Diceros bicornis minor: one gene and its partner. The protein of the gene in region 2 interacts with the protein of the main gene of each other region in a biochemical or structural test. Links are inferred from orthologs where the notes say so. Each region holds a gene or a part of one and is shown on either strand. Other genes may lie near its edges.

Region 1 (10,068 bases), about 3.8 Mb from region 2:
AGAATGATTCACATGGGCCCATGGATATTTTCTTGAAATCAGTAACATGTAGCCAACCCTTTCACAAGAGGGATTCTCCCTGATGACACTCCCGTCAGCCCCGTTTTTTTTTTGCCCAGCCCTGATCCTTTCACATGCGCTTGTCGCATCTGCTACATTTCTTTCAGGTAGAGAAGAGGCAGGACTTACAGACTTCACAGTTCTCATAGCAAATCTAGGCCCAGGAAGAAAAGATAACTTGTCTAAGTCTGCTTTTTTTTTAATTAATTTATTTTTTTTGTGAGGAGGATCAGCCCTGAGCTAACATCCATGCTAATCCTCCTCTTTTTGCTGAGGAAGACCGGCTCTGAGCTAACATCTATTGCCGATTCTCCTCCTTTTTTCCCCCAAAGCCCCGGTAGATAGTTGTAAGTCATAGTTGCACATCCTTCTAGTTGCTGTATGTGGGACGCGGCCTCAGCATGGCTGGACAAGCGGTGCCCTGGTATGTGCCCGGGATCCAAATCTGGGCCGCCAGTAGTGGAGCGCGCGCACTTAACTGCTAAGCCACGGGGCCGGCCCATAAGGCTGCTTTTTAAACGGTAGTCCCACCAGCCGTCCTCCTATTCCCATTCCTTGACACTGCTGGGTCTTTCTATCTTAGAGTATTTACACTTTCCGTCCCCCAGCCTGAAAGCCTATTATGGCCCTTTAAGTGCCTGGCTAATGCCTTGTGTCCTTCAGGTCTCTGCCTCTGACTCCTAGTGTGGATTAGGTTTCCCAGCCATGTGCTTCTAGTGCACTTTGCATCTCTCCTTTATATCACTCATCACGCTTTTAACTCTGGTTCATTTTCTGCCATCCTTATAATCCTCAATTATAAGCTTCCAAGAGTTCGGGGACTGTGTCTGTTTTGCCCACTGCTGTAATCAACACCCACCTGAGACATAGTAGAAACTCAATAAATCCTTGTTGCCCAAGAGAATGAAAAAATTGCATGAGATGAAAGAATGAAGAAGTGGAAAAATGACAACATGGAGTCTAAGTTCTCCTCTCTCCAAAGTTGGAATGTGCTCTGCTTTACCTTTATAACATCCCTAAGAGGTAGAGTATGGAGGGAAATGATGGGGACCCTTCTCCCCACTTGCCAGGTGAGGAGATGGAAGTGCCTTAGCTGTGAACCTTACGTTTCAGGTCTAATAGACCACTTACCATTCCCCCTGAATACTCGCGACACTTCACCTCTGTATTTGTGCCTTCATCTAGAATATTCTTCAAGTCCTATAAAAATCTAACCTACCAGACATTTATATTTGGAAGGACACACGAGAAACTGGTAACAGTAGTTGCCTCCAGCGAGGGGTATGGAAGGGAGATTTGTCTCCATTCAATACCTTTTCCTATTGTTGAAGTTTTATAGACGTAGTTTATATAAACATATTTTCAATAAACTATTTAGATAGCAAAAAAATTAAATGAAAACTTACATGATGAAAGAAGTTTCTATTCACTTTCCAAATTCCAGATCAGATACCTCCAGATGAGACTGCCTCTATAATTATATCAACTTCTCTCACCTTTTGAAAATTCCTATACTTGAATTCATTTCCATAAAATTAAAATCAATTCATCTGCTTCTAATTATAGATAGCACATTCTAATTTTTACCATGGCACCTGGATACAAATTTTAGCATTCTTTCCTTCCCTAAACATAAGCTTATCCAGTTTCATTCACTGAGGCTTCTGGAGTCAGGCTGTGTGACCACAGAGAAATTGCTAAACTATTCTGTGCCTCTCTTTCTTCTTTTATAAAACTGTAATGCTAACAGTAATAACTCATATTTCATGGGGTTGGAGTGAGAATTAAATGAATAATACACGTAAAGCACTTAAAACAGTGCCTGGTATATATCAAGCATGCTGTACATACTATTATTATTCATTCAACAAGCATTTGTGGAGAGGCTCTCATGTACCAGACACCGTGTCGGGTGCTGGCCAGAGGGTTTGTTGTTCATTTTCTTTTCCCCACACCTCACACAGTACCTGCCACATCATAAGTCCTTAATAGATAGTTGCTGAATGGGATTATCCAAAGTCAATCTATGGATAAAACAAAATAGCCCTGATGTTCTGATTTCCAGTCCAGCACTGGAGACTGTGAAGGTGATGGCATTATATCACAGTATTAAAGCTTTTGAGAAATAGAAGTGCCTAGATCTACAGCACGGGATAGAATGGACCAGTGAACACATATGGTTGGGCCAAGTCTGGAACCCACGCACTTGTTCCTCATCTCTCCCCTCATGTGTGTGAAGGAGGTGGGGAGAACCTGTATGGAGGCATAAAAAATTCCATTGGGGTAGATTCATCAGTTGTAACAAATGTACCACTCTGGCGGGGGATGTTGATAATAGGTGAGGCTATGCATGTGTGGGGGTAGGGGGAAATCTCTGTACCTTCCACTCAGTTTTGCTGTGAACCCAAAACTGCTCTAAAAATAAAGTCTATTAAAAAAATACTATTGGGGGAAATGAAAAATTCACTTTATTAGGGGAAGGGACGCGTGGACTTTTTGACTTTTACAACTCTGACGGAATTGGAAGGTGAGCTGAGTAGAGACGATTTTACAAGAATCTGGCTTCTTGGTTGGCTAAATCTGTCATGGCTGACCTGTCTCACTTGCAAAGCATTTCCGTCTGGGTTTTATTGGGGTTTCACAAAAGAGTGCATATTTAAAAATAAAAACACTGTAAAAATTTTGTACATATTTCAGAGAAGATGTTATGCAAGGAAGGGAGCTGCTGATGATTGGGTAAACACGCCCTATGGGGCTGGGCTGTTTCTCACCAACCAGTGACCTCTAGAGCCTTCAGTGGAGGATTTGTCAGCAGCACCAGAGACCCATCTGCCAGGCTGGCCAGGAGGCAAGTAGCACAGAGATGGAAAAGTCCAGCCCACTGTTCCACCCCATCACTCCTGACAGTCACTAAGAAGTATTCCAAAAATGGCAGAGTCATAGATGGGGTTCATCCAGGAAGGCTTGGCTCTCCCTGTGAGGGCTTAAAGTGGTTCAGTTTGGCTTTTTAAGCCCTAAGCTCAATTATTCCTCTCCTAGACCTCGTGAAGCAAGAGCCATGGTCTGCCTGATTCTGAGGAAAAGTGGGGCCAAGGAAGGGCCTCTTCATCTGGGAGTCTGGCAAAAGATAGATCCCACATGCAGCCCCTCCAACATCCCTAGCATATCTCTGGGCTTTTCCTGGAAAAGTCCATAATGGATTTGCGGTCTTAAAAACCCCAAGTGCAAAACAACCAGAGCCTCAGGATTTCCCCCCCTCCCTAAAGCCGCTTCTGCTCCAGGCTGCCTCCCACAGTCTAACCAAAGTCCCAAGGCATTTAAGCAGAAAGGAGATGCTCATCCCACTCCACAGTGAGCCCGAAGTACACTTGCTTGGATTTTTCTTTCCCAAATACCTTTTCTCGTAGCCCTGATACTACTAAACACAGAACACCAGCTTACCTTTGGAGGAAGACAAACCAGAAAGACAAGAGCCCTGCTCCAAACGCTCTGCTGTGTGTACGCTGGAGCAGCCCTGACACGGAGGGTTCCCAATTTGCATTTCCCCCTTACTGTAATCAGCCTTGGGCTCCAGAAATCCTGGCCTCTCCCCCTCTTGCTGCCTTGGAACCTTCTCTTCCAGGAAAGTAGCCACCAGTATGACCACACTGTGGCCACTGTCTGTTCTCAACCAAACGCCTGGGGTTTTCACTTCTACCCTCTCTTCTCACTACAGCCCTTCCTTGTTGTTGGACCATCTTTCTGGTTTGTCTGCTCATTCTGTGTGTGAGGATTCCCTCCCAGGGCAGGGGTGTAGGAGTAATATTCTCCCAGAGCTGCATCCCTCCAGCTCGGTCCCTTAGCCTGGATCCTTGCCAGAATGATACTTATGCAAAAGCAATCACTCAATCAGGACTTTGACCTGAGCCTTTCATGGTGAGAGGCTGGTTTTGAATGTGACTGTTGCCTTTGGCTTAGAGCTCCTGGTTTCCTTGGAAACTAGGATTCGTGGGGCTGAGCCTCGGAACCCAGGGGCCCAGGAACTCACAATGTTCCTTCCTCTTTGAAAGAAGCAGGTGAAACTCAGAGCCAGCCCCTAAGGAAGAGGCAAGTGAACCACAGCCTCTAGCCCCTGCGTCTTCTCTCCACCCATGGGGCTAGCTGATTCCTGGCAGGTGATCGCGGGACTCAAACCCTCTAGCAGATAAACACTCACCTGATCCGCAGCTCAGCTCAAAAGCCAGGGAGAGAAACAGCAGGAGGTTCAAGAAGAGGGACCCCTTGGGATCCATCAGCCAGTGAGGAGAGGAAAGGGAGACTGGCGAGGAGCCTGGCAGCTGGTCGCAGATGCCACAGCAGAAGCAAGCTCTGTATTAGGCAGTGCTGCCTCTACTGTCTAGTTTAAGCATCAGGAACCAGCAGGCTTCCTGTCTCATGGGGACTTTTTCTGCCTATGGTCTCGAGGATTGCTCATCTCTTTTCAGGCTTTAAATCACTTTGTCTTCTCGAGAAGTCCGAGTCAGGTGCTGAGACTACTAGAGCCGGGAAGGGAGCTGTGTAGTCACCTCGGTCAAACCCCGACTTTGGGCAGGAATTTGCTCCCCCCTCTTCCTCTTCTTAGCTGTTTCCAGGAAAGGGGTGCTGAGCTTCTCTGAGCAGTTTTTCTCTGGTAACTTTTCTTCTTTGAATGCAAAGAAAAATGGAGCTTTGCCAGACCACCTCCACATTTGGGTCAGTTAGTTCAAAGCTGAACTTGGATGACTGAACTTTAAGGAGCTGGTAGACTTCTTACTTTTGACTTGTTCCATAATTTCAGAGGACACCTCGATATGCAGTCAGGTCCTGGTGCCAAAGTTACAGAGAGATGGGGTGGGCAAGGGCGGATCATTGACAGAAACTCAATTTTCCTGCTGGGTACAATGTGGTAGAATTTAGTGAGCCCTGTGCTGTGTTGGGATGGGTCACCTTTATTTTAGAGCTTGTGTCTAACTTTTTTTTTTTATTTGCCCCGAGGTAACGTCTGTTGCCAATCTTCCTCTCTCTTTTATTTTTTACCTCCCCAAAGCCCTAGTACATAGTTGTATATTCTAGTTGTAGGTCCTTCTAGTTCTTCTATGTGAGCTGCCGCCACAGCATGGCTACTGACAGACGAGTGGTGTGGTTCAGCACCTGGGAACTGAACCTGGGCTGCCGAAGCAGAGTGTGCCGAACTTTCACCACTAGGCCATCAGGGCTGGCTCAACTTTTTGTTGAGGATAAGGGACTAGAATTGACAGAAAAAAGACCCTATGCTTTTCCATGAGTTAAGTTATAAAAATAAAACACTGGAAAGTTGCCATTACTGATGCTCACAAGGAGACTTTGAAAGGCTAGGCTAATGTTTTTGAAGTCCATTTTAACAGGTCAAAGGCACTCTCCAATGGGCCTTCCTGAGGGGATCAGGGTAATAAGAGTTGGTGGTATATGTGAATTTGCTCTTTATGCTCACTGTTTTCCCCCCTACCTCACCTGACACTCATCCATCCTCCCCACAACACTGCCCAGTGGTGTGCTGGAGCCTCTCAACTCGTGAGAGCCAGTTGTGAAATTTTCAGGACTCTTGTGAGCTGGTTGGTTGGTAAACATTACCATTATTAAAATTTGAATTATAGAAATGTACAATTAACAAATTATATTTAAAAAAGGAATGAAAACTGAAAGCTTGTTACTTCCTAATTATTGTATGACATTTTACTATTATCTACGCTCTTGAGGACATTTACATCAATTACATCTCTGTGGTGGAAATAAAATACCAGATCATGTGCTGCTGCACTTCTCTTCCCAGCTCTGCATTCAGTGACGTCATGTTGGTAGCTTGAAATCAGCCAGGGTGGGAGAATATATACCATGAAAATTGGCAATTGATATAAATCAGAGCTTTGATATATTGTTTTGTCGATTATCTAGATGTAAGAAAGTGGTGGAGAAACATTAATGACGCACATTAAACTTAAAAATATGTCATGACTGTAGCCTTTAAGTTGTAAGGAGCATAAAAAATTTGAGGAAATATTTTTCCAGTACTAAAAACTATCATCTTATTCAGCAAAAAGTCACTAGTGTCACTGACAAGCAAGTGAGATTACAATATATGTCTTTGATGTTTCACAATTCTTTAACTTAAAAAAATTGACTGCAAGCAAGAAGAGAACGGTGTGAAATATTTAAAGTGTTGAAGGAAAAAATCCCACTGACCTAGAATTAGGTTTCCTGTAAAATTAGTCTTCAAAAATGAAGAAGAAATAAAGACTTTCTCAGATGAACAAAAATTGAGGGGATTTGTTGTCAGTAGTTTTGCTTTGCTAGAAATGTTAAAAGACGTTCGCTAGAAAGAAGGAAAATATAGGTCAGAAACTGAGATCTACATAAATAAAGGAGGAGCATCAGAGAAGGAATAAGTGATGGTAAAATAAAAATCTTTATTTTTCTTACTCTTAATTTTGATCTAACAGATAACACATTGTTCAAAATAATAATAGCAACGTTGTATTCAATTATGTATGCTTATGTATATATCTTATGTACATATATATGCTTATGTATGCTTATCTATAAGTGAAGTGAATGACAGCAATGATACAAGGATAGGAGGGAGGAATTAGGATTATTTTGTTATTATAAAGTACTTACACTACCCATTAAGTAGTGTAGTGTTATGGAAAGTGTGTTTGGATTAGTTGCAAATGTATATTGCAAAATCTAGGGCAACCACTAAAAGAAGAAAAAAAAACTTATAACTGATATATTAAGAAAGGAGAGAAAATGGAATCATACAAAATGTTCAATTAAAACCACAAAAGGCAGAAAAAGAATGGAAGGTAATAATAGCAACAAAGAACAAGAGCAGCAAATAGAAAATAGTAACAAATATGATAGATATTAATCCAACAAAGGCAACAAATAGAAAATAATAACAAATATGATAGATATCAATAATCACTTTGAGCGTCAATGGTCTAAATGAACGACTTAAAAGACAGAGATTGTCAGAATAGATCAAAAAAACAAGACCCAACTATGTGTTGTCTACAAGAAACCGACTTTAAATATAAAGGCATATATAGATTAAAAGTAAATGGATGGAGAAAGAGAAAATGTGCTAACACTAATCAAAAGAAAGTGGAAGTAGCTATATTAATTCCAGACAGAACAGAAATCAAAGCAACAAAATTCATCAGAGATAAAGAGAGATGTTACCTAATGACAAAGGGGTAAATTCTCCTAGAAGACATAACAATCCTTAACATGTACGTGCCTCACAACACAGCTTCAAATACATAAGGAAAAACTGATAGAACTGCAAGTAGAAATAGATTAATCCACTATTATTGTTGGAGACTTCAATACCCTTCTTAGGCATAAACATACCCAACAGGCAGACAATCAGTTAGGACATCATTGAACTCAACAGCACCACCAATCAACTGGATATAATGGACATCTATAGATGACTTCATCTAACAACAGCAGAATACACATTCTTCTCAAGCTCACATGGAAAATTCACCAAGATAGTCCACCTTCTGGGCCATACAACACGCCTTAACAAATTTAAAAGGATAGAAATTGTACAATATCTGATCCCAGACCACAATAGAATTAAACTAAAAATCAATAATAGAAAAATAACTGGAAAACCCCAAAATATGTGGAGATTAAACAACACACTTCTAAATAACACATAGGTCAAAAAAGAAATCTTAAGAGAAATTTTAAACAAAATGAAAATGAAAACACAATGTATCAAAATTTGCAAGATGCAGCAAAAATAAGCCTTAGAGGGAAATTTATAGCATTGAATGCATATATTAGAAAAGAATAAAGACATAAAATCAATAATCTAAGCTTCCATTTTAGTAAACTAGAAAAAGAAGAGAAAATTAAATTTGAAATAAGCAGAAAAAGAGAAATAATAAACATTAGCCCAGAAAGCAGTGAAATTGAAAACAAGAAATCAATAGAAAAAATCAACAAAACCAAAAGCTAGTTCTTTGAAAAGATCAGCAAAATTGATAAACTTCTAGCCAGGCCAGATAAGAAAAAAAGACAAAGGACACAAGTTACTGATATCAGAAATGAAAGAGGACCATCACTACCAACCCCATCGACATTAAAAGTATAATAAAGGAATACTTTGAACAACTCTATGCCTACAAATTTGATAACCTAGATGAAATGGACCAATTCCTTGAAAGATACAATCTGCCAAAACTCACACAAGATGTTATAGACAATGTGAATAGGCCTACGTTTATTAAAGAAATTGAATCAATAATTAAGAAATTTCCAAAACAGAAAGCACCAGTTCCAGATGGGCTTACTGGTGAATTCTACTAAACATTTAAGGAAGAAATTATAGTAATTCTCCACAATCTCTTTCAAAAGATAGAAGTGGAGAGAATTCTTCCTAACTCATTCTATTCTATATTCTAACTCACTCTAATATCGAAACCAGACAAAGACATTACAAGAAAAGAAAATCACAGACCAATATCTCTCATGAACATAGTTACAAAAATCCTCATTTGAATCCAACAATGTATAAAAATAATTATACACTATGACCAAGTGGGATTTATCCCGGGTATGAAGACTAAAATAAATTAACCCATCATATCAACTGGCTAAGGAAGAAGGATAACGTGATCATATCAATAGATGCAGAAAAAGCATTTGTCAAAATTAAACACCCATTCATGATAAAAACTCCCAGTCAACTAGGAATAGGAGAGAACTTCCTCAACTTGATAAAGAATGTCTACAAAAACCTACAGTTAAGCCATCAAGTTTGTGGTAATTTGTTAAGGAAGCAATAGGACCTGGCTTTGTTAAGGAAGCCTAATACAGGACCTGAAGGGCAACGTAACTAACCAGAGGTTTACAGTTATTAAACTTGGTACACGAAGCTGCTTCCATCACCTATGAATCTGTAGAGAACAGACTTTGACAGACCAACAACAAAAGATGATGCCTTGTAGTTACAAAGCCATTGTCAAAAGTCTTCACTTTCGCTGCCTTATTTGACATTTACAACAGCCCTATGAAGGAGGCAGAGCTGGTGGTGGTGTAAGGCCGGGCCCAGACCAAACTTGGGAACCTGACTCTGGGTCAAGACCTCTTTCTCCCTGGAGTGTACTCATTATCCCCATGAACACTCAAGAGGGTAAGAAGGAGGAAATCCCACTAACTGAATTCCCTAAATGTCTGGGGCTTCCAAGGACATTATTCCATTAATCTTCATAATAGTAAAAAGCAGGCAGAATTATCACAATTTTACAAATTGAGGAACAGAGCTGCTAAATAACTTGTCTAACGGCTCAGAGCCAAAATGTGAGAACATTGGATTCAAATTCTGCAATATCTAACTCTGGAGTCTGTGCTCTATCTACTCACCACTTGCATTACACTGGGCAAGAAACTTAGCCAGTCTTCAGGCTTATGGTGGCCAATAGCCCATTATCTGTGGGACATTCCCTCTGGCACAGATGAAGACATGAGCAACAGAAGAATCCTGGGTTAGCACTGTTTTCTGCCCCTCCCCTCTATCACCTGTGACAAAACACCACTTCCTTCCTCTTACCTATGTGGATCCCCACCCTGAGAGTGAGGAGGACCATATGTATGTGGAAAACAGCTGTCCCCAAGCAATCTTAGGTGGGTTGCACAATGAGGCTAAACAGGGGGGTGTAACATCCCCCTAAGACTTGCTACTCTCTCTCCTGACACTTTATGGCTAAGGGTGGCAAAGTGACTTGCCTGAAGCTACCTAGGACTGGGCTGCCCCTGAGCATCCTGGCTTCCCAACCAGTGACTCTCTTCATCACAGCCTCTGACCAGAGGTCCTTATAACATGAGGCAGCCCCACGGAGATGGGTCACTGAGGGGCAGGCTAGACCACTTGGCTGCTTGGAGCCCATGATGAGCACATTTATCTGGATAAGTAAAAAAAAAAAAAAAAAAAAAAAAAAAAACCCACAAAAACAAAAT
Region 2 (9,741 bases):
TCTAGGATTTTATCCTAAGGAGAGAGTTGGGCAAGCTTTCAAAGATGTAAGTACAAAAATGTTAATAGTCTCAAATTACATTGGATCCATTGGACCAAATTGGAAATAACCTAATTGTGTGCTTATGTCTAAATTATGATATATCCAATCAATAAAATACTAAGCGGTCGTGAAAGGATGATGTGTATTGGCTTTCTCTGACGTGGAAAGATACCTACAATACATTGAAAGAAACAGGCCATCATGTAACATGAACCATTTATGCACATATATATTTGCTTATACGTGCATATGCATAGAGAGAAGTCTGGAGAGATGGGTGCTGAAATATCAGAAAGCGTGATTTCTGAGTGGTGAGATTGAGATAATTTCTGCTTTCCTTTTTATTCTTTCTCTGCATTTGATTTTCTAAAACAACAAAAATTTTGAATTATTTTTTCTTTCTGAACTCTAGAGTCTTTCCAAAGAGCTCAAAATCTGAGAGCTGGAGATGACTCTTGAGGTCTCTTCTACTCATTCTTTCTATTGCTGTTTCCTCCTCAGTGAGTTCGTGCAGTAAGTCAAGGTTCAGGTTCTTCTCACCTGCAGCCTTCCTGCGGCTACAGAAAGTCTCTCCTCACCTTCACGCTGCAGATGAGTCCCTTCCATCTCCTAATATCCACTTCATTTTGACTGTACTGATTCTAAAGGCAGACCTAGCTTCAACTTCTGACACCCACAAAGTCACACTACACAGACAACATTTTGCACGTTGGTGTTTTCTGGAAGCTATATCATACTGAGATCAGGTAAGATTTCCTGTCCACTGTTACCACATAGCTTTCTGGTCAATGCTATATCCTGCTGGGCCAACTGTCTCTGTGACTTCCTTCCTTTATTTCTAACCTTTCCTATAGTTTTTGTATTTCAGTCTGTGAAAACTAGAAGTTGCCCTGCTGAGAGTGGTCATTACAGTTATCCCACACCTCACAGTGTCCATTTACCTCCCTATTGCTTCCTCCAGGCTCTGAGCGGTGTTGAAGGCACCAACTGAGGGTCTAGCATAGTGCCTGGCATATGAGAGACTTTATAATTTTATTTATTTATTTTTTTCCCCCAAAGCCCCAGTAGATAGTTGTATGTCATAGTTGCACATCCTTCTAGTTGCTGTATGTGGGACGCGGCCTCAGCATGGCCGGACAAGCGGTGCGTCGGTGCACGACCGGTACCCGAACCCCGGCAGCCAGCAGCGGAGTGCAAGCACTCAACCGCTAAGCCACGAGGCCGGCCCAGAGAGACTTTAAATAATTGTTGAGCAACTAGAATTGAATGGTCTGTACTGATCTGTGTGATAACAAAATTTCACAAGGACTATGATGAGAGCCATTTTGATGTGGGCTATTTGGCCTGAGCCTTAAGCCTGAGGGTTCCTGAAATTTTGTCTGCCTTTCAGTGACATGGGCAAGGAGTAGGGTGAGGCTTGATCATGTGCAGGTGCCCAACAAATATTGGTTCTTGCCTCTCCATTTGATTTATTATTATTATTTTTTACATTTCTTAGTGACTTTCTCTTTAGATGAATATATAAGCTAGATTGATACACCACAGAACAGTTGAGAATAAATGTCAATTTTTAAAGAGAATCCCAAAATAGACTACTTACCCTGAGATCTTGGTCAAGGTCACACCCTTGCAACTTCTTCTTTTTTCTCTTCCCACTGCTTGCCCCACCATAGCTAGTTCCTCCCCATCTCCCATCCAGAGACACAACAGTCTCTATGGCCATCATCTGTCAGCTTCGGTACATTCTCCATATCAGATTGGAGTTCCTAAACTCAGCACCAGTCTTGTCACTTCTCTGCTCAGAAACCATCCATGTTCCCCCATTAGCTACAGAATCATTTTTTTAAAGACCCCATAATACTATGCTACACCTACTTTTCTGAAAGTTGGTTTCCAAACTACCTTTCCAGCACCCTACGTGATTCATGTGTGCTTTAAAATATTCTATTCTAGACCTCTTTTCCTACCTCCACCCTTCCCTAAAACGCCTTCCATCCCATTTCCATGTAACCAAATCTTACCCACTCTTTAAGTCCCAGCTCAAATACCACCTCCTCTAAGCCTTCTTAGAAGGCTTGAAATCACCTTAGAATCTTCCCAGGCCTTAGCACAGTGTTTGAATAGATAGTAGGTATTCACTACATTTTTATAGACATTTTTTAAATTACAAAAATAATACGCACACAAATAAAACATTTAAACAGTAAAAAAAAGTTATCAAATGAAAAGAATGAATCCACAACCCTTTTCCTAACTCACTCCATCTAAATTCCCAGCTGTAACCACTATTATAAGTTTCTTGTATACCTTCTAGAAATTTTATATGAATATACAAGGATATAGGTATCTTTTTTTTTTTACACAAATGGAATCAAACTTTGCATCTTGCCTTTTTTACACAACAATAGATCTTAGAGGTTTTTCACACCATACATAGATTTGCCCAATCTTGTTAATGCCAATTTGCACATACTGTGGAGTCATAACTATAAGATAGATTTTTATTAGTGAAATTTGAGGTCAAGGGTTATATCCATGTATATTATGTTTTGGCCACATTACCATCCAAAGAGGCTGCATTAGCGTGTGCAAGGCTGTCTGCTTCCCAGCACTCTAATTACCTCTGAGTATTTTCATAGTTTTAATTCTTGCCCATTGAATAGGCAAAAATGGTATGTCATCATTCTTTGAATTTGTACTCATAGCTCCCTAATTCTAAGAAGCACTGAAGTGCATCCATAGAGAAATTTGAGTTTTAATTCCTATAACAGGTAGAAGAAAAAGTTCAGTGTTCTCTGTAAAGAGGAGGATACTTAAAGATAGTGGATTCCCGCTGATATGTGTTCTGAATTGCTTTCTAAACTGGGCTAAACATGGTAGCTCTGATACTCTGGCCTGGAATTTCATACTGAACTCAGACCTTTGGAAATGCCAGATGAATTTTAACACAAGCAAGTCATTTGAGAACTCCAGGTCTCTGTTTCTCATCTAGAAAATGGGGACTGCTTATGCTTGCCTTGACAGATGACAAGAAGGATGAAAGGAAATGATGTGTGTGAAGCCCTTTACAAATCTAACAAAATTTGAAATATAATAAGTATTTTAAGTATTGCAAGTGGAGCCAGCAGAATACATGTAAAAACGTGTTCTCTCAAGCTGAAATTTCATAAAAGGTCCCTAGCCTTTTCCATACGGTTATATTTCCAAATAAAGTGACTTCTACTGGAAAGGACCTTTCTCACATGGCTACCTTCTCTGCATTTCCCCTCACCGCCCATGCTTCCTGCAGCCCTTCCCTTCACCACCACTGCCCCCCACTTTGGCTATTCCAGAGAGTCTGCTCCTGTGGCATTTGTACCAGGGAGAGAAGCGCAGCTGGAGAAGCTTAGACAGACACATTCCTTCCAACCTCTCCTTGCAGTGTCCAGCTATTTCTCACCCTGCTCATTAGGACTTTGGTTATCATTACTACATTCAATACAAAGTTTCAAATGCATGGAAGATGAGGCTACTCACGAGACACAGAGGCACAGGACTCCTGGAAGAGACTCACTGTCTCTTAACAGAAAGTTGCCATCCACCCCTTCCTTGAGCAGCAAGGTCTCACAGTCTCTCTTGGACAGAGGCCCGTGGTAATAAGGCAGATCCATGGAGAGCCCTCTCGTATCCCTGAAATCCAGTGGGCGACGGCCTTGAGAAGGGAAGTGGAGGCAGCTGGCCTAATGGGGCCCGCTGTGGTACCTCTTTCTCCTCTGATTGGTAGCAATGAGATGAAGTTGTTCTGTGGGACTCCACCAATTTCGCAAGATTCAGGAAATGAGAAGGGTGGGGGTGATAAAGTGACCAAGACTTTTCAGCCTATAAGTGGCCCAAGTGTGACTCACAGAAGTGGCTGAGAGCATGTTTGATTACACAACAGAATCAGTGATGTACGGGGATGGGGCTGCAATGCTGAAGTCAAGCTCCCCGGCACTGGGTTGGAGCCTTGTATATCACCCTAAATCACCAGTTTTCCCCTTCTCTCTGGCTACTGGTGTCCCTTCCAGAGAGCACACCACTGTTTCTGCTATAATAGGTGCCCATTTTCTGCTGAAGCTGCCTGTGATTATGCTATGCTTAGCTCAGAACAGGTGCTCAAAAGTGTTTGGATGCTGAATGAATCCAGATATGTCTAGACACGATGGGACAATTGAAAAGGTAAGATTTCCATGGGTCAAATGACGTGAAAAATGGCAGATGTCAATGGAAACAGAAAGCAATTGGACACCATAGCAGAGAACAGCCCATTCCCTGGCTAAAGCTGCTAGCCACTGGTAAACAAAGGCCATTTTTAACATTCTCTGGCACTGTGCCTTTTGGGGAAGGAGCTGGTGCAGGTGGGAGGGATTATCTGGGTATACAAAGTTAGTGCAAGGATGCTTCTCTGGGTGGAAGAAAAGAGGATATTAGGCTTGGGTTTGAAGACCTTCAGGTCCTTTGAAGTTCCCGTCCTGGAGGACAGCAGTGATGTGTCCCCATGAAGAGAGACCAAGAAAAGTCTATCTAGTCAGAGATACTTGGCCCCCTTTAGACAATCTGATGTTGATGAGAAAATTCCTTTGTTTTCCTGCTGAGCCTTTTCCACTTTGATCAACTGACATTCTTGGGAAAGGTGGTTTCTGTTATCCGAGGGTCAGAGTTAACCCTAAGAGTAATTTCCAAGGCCTGTTTTTCCCCAACTTTATTGAAATTCACATATAACACTGTGTAAGTTTAAGGTGTACAGCGTGTTGATGTGATACACTTATACGTTATAAAATGATTATCACCATAGCAGTAGCTACCATCTCCACCTTGTCCCATAAATACCATTTCTTTTTTGTGGTGAGAACATTTAAGATCTACTCTCTTAGAAACTTTCAAGTATATAAGACAGTATTATTAACTATCATCAGTATGCTGTACATTAGATACCCAGAACTTATTCATCTACTAACTAGAAGTTTGCGCCCTTTGACCAACGTCTCACTATTTCCTCCAAGGCCTTTTTAAGCAACAAAACCATCCTACACATTATCAATTAATTAATTTTTAATTAATTAATTTCAGATAGAAGAAGTCATGCAAGCATATCTAGCATCCAATGTTTTAAAATGGATTACATTTACTAACTCTCACAATTAACATCACGCAATGTCAGTTGTTATAAACTGCATGTGAATTTCTCCCTATTCAACTGCCTTATCCAAATATCTATAGGAATTGCTACATATCTCAAATATATATCTATAAAGATAGAACCATGTGCTCATGAATCATCCTTACTTCTCTTAATGCTTTCTTAACCCAGATGATTATTTCATCTTGCTGCTTTGTTTACGAGCTGCCCACCCACTCTTGGGGATCTGTCTTGCATTGAACTTCTTAGTAGGAGATTTTCGTTCCTCCTTGGAAGTTCCACTGCTCCAGGGTTGGTGTAATGTGGTGTAATGGAGTGACACTAATCAAGGAACTTGTCATCAGAGAAATGTGCTTTCAAATCCTGATTTCTCTTGTGTGGCCTTGGGCAATTCACCATTTAACTTCCTGGGAATTATGGCAGTTCAGGAGAGAATTTTTACTGATGAAAGAGGAAATTGGCTACCAAGCTTGATGCAAGGATATTTTTTTTAAAATAAGGGAGGAAATAATTGGATGCATGTTCAAGATCTTTAGCATCACAGGGTCTTTAATGCCTTTTTTTCCTGTGTCAAAACCCAATGCCCTCATCCTTGCTCAACATAAGAACAACGCAAATTAAATACATACTGAGATAACATCTCCCACCTATCATATTGGTGCAAATCAAAAGTTTGAAAACATACTGGGTTGGTCATGCTGGGGTGAAATAGAATAAAATCTCATACATTGTTGGCTGGAATATGAAATGGTTACAACTACAATGGAGGAGAGTTTGGCGATATCTAGCAAATTTGTATAGGCATTTACCCTCTGATAGAACCATCTCAATTCTATTTTGTACTAAATAATTCAGGCAAAGATAGTCAGTGGGTGAAAACTTTAGGGAAATGTTTGATAATGGTCTTTACAAGGGAGAGATCATGCTGTCACCACCTAAACCCACTGACCAATCTTAGCACATCTAAGAGTGGGACAACCAGATATTGAATGCCTACTAATTTGATGCAGCAGGAAACACACAGCACCACTGTGGAGTGTACTTTCAAAAAAAGTTGAACTTGGGGCCAGCCCCTTGGCTTAGTGGTTCAGTCCAGTGTGCTCCACTTTGGTGGCCCAGGTTCACGCGTTCGGATTCCAGGAGCAGACCTACACCACTTGTCAGCCATGCTGTGGCGGCGACCCACATACAAGATAGAGGAATATTGGCACAGATGTTAGGTCAGGGTGGATCTTCCTCAAGCAAAAAAAGAGGAAGATTGGCAACAGATGCTAGCTCAGAGTGAGTCTTCCTCACCAAAAAAAAAAAGTTGAACTTGAAATGAATCAAGCCCTTATAACTAACTTCTATTCATGGGACCCTCATGAGGAAGCGGACAAACAAATCCTATGTGGGACATTGACTAGGACAACAAATGTGGTTTCCTCATATGTCAATGTCATAAAAACTGAGTCATATAGTAGGGTGAGGACTGCTCTAGGTTAAAAGAGATTTATGAGGCATAAAACAAATGCAACATGAGGATCTTGTATGGATTCTGGTTTGAAAAAATCAGCTACAAAAAAATTTCCTGCCATTGAGGAAATTTAAATATTGACTAGATAGTAGATGATACCAAGGAATTATTGTTGATTTTGTTAGGTGTAGTAATGGCATTGTGCTTCTGTGAGTAAATAGCCATAGCTGGGTGATGGTGTATGAGGGTCTTTATATTAATGTCTCTATTTTTGTATGTATTGAACATTTTTCACACTAAAAAACCCTTCCATTCTCATGTTATTCTGATCCCATATCACCTTTGAGAATAGTTGCACAGTACATATTAACATCTTTAATTTCTCACATGGATCCCCTTTCTCTCATCCATAGAAATCAAAGCCTAGTGCCGTGTTTGTAGAACATGACCCTATCCCTCTAGCCATGGTTGATTGGACCAAGGGTAGGCCCCTGACCCAAGATGGGCTAATCAGACACACTTACTAAGGAATTTGGAGGGAATGAAAAAAGGAAGAAAGAGAGAGGTGCAGGGGATTGGAGGGAGGGAGGAAATAAGAATGGAAATGAGTTTTCTAGGAATAGCTGTATAACAGGTACATTGTTGTGCTGTGAACTGGTGGCCATATCCCACCCAGCGGCCAGAATAAGAGAGAAAACTGGTCCACACAATGAAGAATAAAGTAGACTCATGGAGAGAAGCAGAGTCAAGAGAAAGTCCTACTAAGGCAACCTACTGAATGGGAGAAAATATTTGCAAATCATAGATCTGATAAGAGATTAATATCCAAATTATAAAGAATTCATACAACTCAATAGCAAAAAAGCAAATAATCCAATTTAAAAATGGACAAAGGACTTGAATACACATTTTTGTGAAGAAGATATACAAATGGCCAAGAGGTACATGAAAAGATGCTCAACATCACTAATCACTAGGGAAATGCAACTCAAAACCAAATGAGATATCACCTCACACTGGTTGGAATGGCTATCATCAAAAAGACAAAAGATAGCAAATTCTGGCAAGGATGTGGAGAAAAGGGAACCCTTGTGCACTGTTGGTGGGATTATAAATTGGTGCAGCCACTATGGAAAACAGTATGGAGGTTCTTTAGAAATTAAAAACAGAACTACCATATGATCCAGCAATTCCCCTTCTCAGTATATATCGGAAGGAAATGAAATTACTATGATGAAGAGATATATGCACCCTCATGTTCGTTGGAGCATTATTTACAATAGCCAAGACATGGAAACAACCTAACTATCCATCAACAGATGAATGGGTAAAGAAGATGTGGTATATATATACAGTGGAATATTATTCAATCATGAGAAAGAAAGAAACTGTCCCTTCCCTTGTTGGGGTGGTGTTGCATCTGGATGGGATGCCTGGACCTTCGGCAATCATTGTGGGATCAAAAGAGCTAGGCTGCCTGCTGAGAAGGGCAAAGTGGGGAAAGAGAGAAAGAATCTGGGTCCTTGTCAATGGCATTGAGCTGCTTTACCAACTGCCCTAGGAGCCCATCCCTCCTGTGGACTTCCAGTGGAGCGGGAGAATAAATTTCCTGCCTGGTTAAGCTATTTGATTAGGGTTGATTAGCACAAAGAATCTTAATGGATACACTGACATATGGCATTGATTTTTTTTTATTAGTTCCAGTACTATCTTCATTGATAGTGGTTTTTTTTAAATGTAATTACTTAGCTATTAATAGTGTGCAGCAGTTTCCACAACAATGTTGAAATCCCACTACTTTTAGATTTTCCCATACCTTGACTATCAGCTTTCCTAAAGTCCCTCTACCATAGATTATCTCTCATTTTTCCTCTCCTCATTCCTCAAATAATTTTTTTTTTTTTGTGAGAAAGATCAGCCCTGAGCTAACATCCGTGCTAATCCTCCTCTTTTTGCTGAGGAAGACCGGCTCTGAACTAACATCTATTGCCTAATCCTCCTCCTTTTTTTTTTACCCCAAAGCCCCCCAGTAGATAGTTGTACGTCATAGTGACACATCCTTCTAGTTGCTGTATGTGGGACGCGGCCTCAGCATGGCCGGATAAGCGGTGCGTTGGTGCGTGCCCAGGATCCGAACCCAGGCCGCCAGTAGCGGAGGGCGTGCACCCAACCGCTAAGCCACAGGGCCAGCCCGTCAAATAAATTTTTAAAGACCTGATATTACTATGTTGATTATTGAAAATAATAGCTGGGTGTTAAATTAATATGAACATACTGTGACATGCAGATAAACTTCTGAGCTATTTAATAAATGAATACAGGTAGTATATCCATCTCACTGCCTTAACTACTTTATGTATCAGAACATAGTTTTCATATGCATCATTTTATTTAAAAATGGAAATACTCAGAAGTAAACAAAATAAAATTAAAAAACCCCTGAAGAGTGCAAACAAAAGTCAAAGGGGCTGAGGCACTCCCGTCAAATATAAAAGGTAAACTTGGTGAGTACAAATTTTAGGAGAAGATGCGATTAGGAAATTTGTTACTTAGACAAGTAAACGTTAGGTAACTTGATTATTCCATGCAGTTTGGTTTAGGTGAACTGGTTTGACTCTTTTTGGAACAATACACGAGAAACTGAGGTTAAAATGCTCTTCCTGCAACAAGACTTGGGCATTGGGCTAATTCCTAGGGAAGAGGATCATAGTCTCCAATGTAGAGACACAGATGAGTGGGCAGAGAAAAGTTAAGGGGATCTACTTCATCCTCCAAGGGAGAAACCTGGACTTACTCCCTGAAGGAACCAGATGCATCAGGTGTATTAGTTTCTTATTGCTGCTGTAACAAATTACCACAAACTTAGGAGCTTAAAACAACACAAAGTCATGATCTCAGCTTCCTTGGGTCAGAAGTCTGGCAGTCTCTGCTTAGAATCTCACAAGGCCAAAATCAAGATGTCGGTGGGCCTGCGCTCCTTTTTGGAGGCTCTAGGGGAGAATTTATAGTCTTGCTCATTCAGGTTGTTGCTGGAATTCAGTCTCATGCATTGCAGGACTGAAGACCCATTTTCTTGTTTGCTGTC

Evidence for each region.
Region 1: the proteins of SH2D1B (region 2) and SLAMF1 interact in a test that uses a peptide from one of them, tested with the Homo sapiens proteins (2 studies listed by BioGRID). The link is inferred for Diceros bicornis minor from reciprocal best matches to the Homo sapiens genes SH2D1B and SLAMF1.

Annotation. Positions count from the first base shown.
Region 1 is NC_080743.1:65,245,800-65,255,867, forward strand, and holds the start of SLAMF1 (signaling lymphocytic activation molecule), read right to left. Parts: upstream 4,385-10,068; 5' UTR 4,332-4,384; coding exon 4,256-4,331; intron 1-4,255.
Region 2 is NC_080743.1:69,029,292-69,039,032, forward strand, and holds the start of SH2D1B (SH2 domain-containing protein 1B), read right to left. Parts: upstream 3,771-9,741; 5' UTR 3,693-3,770; coding exon 3,559-3,692; intron 1-3,558. UniProt on the Homo sapiens protein: Cytoplasmic adapter regulating receptors of the signaling lymphocytic activation molecule (SLAM) family such as CD84, SLAMF1, LY9 and CD244. In SLAM signaling seems to cooperate with SH2D1A/SAP.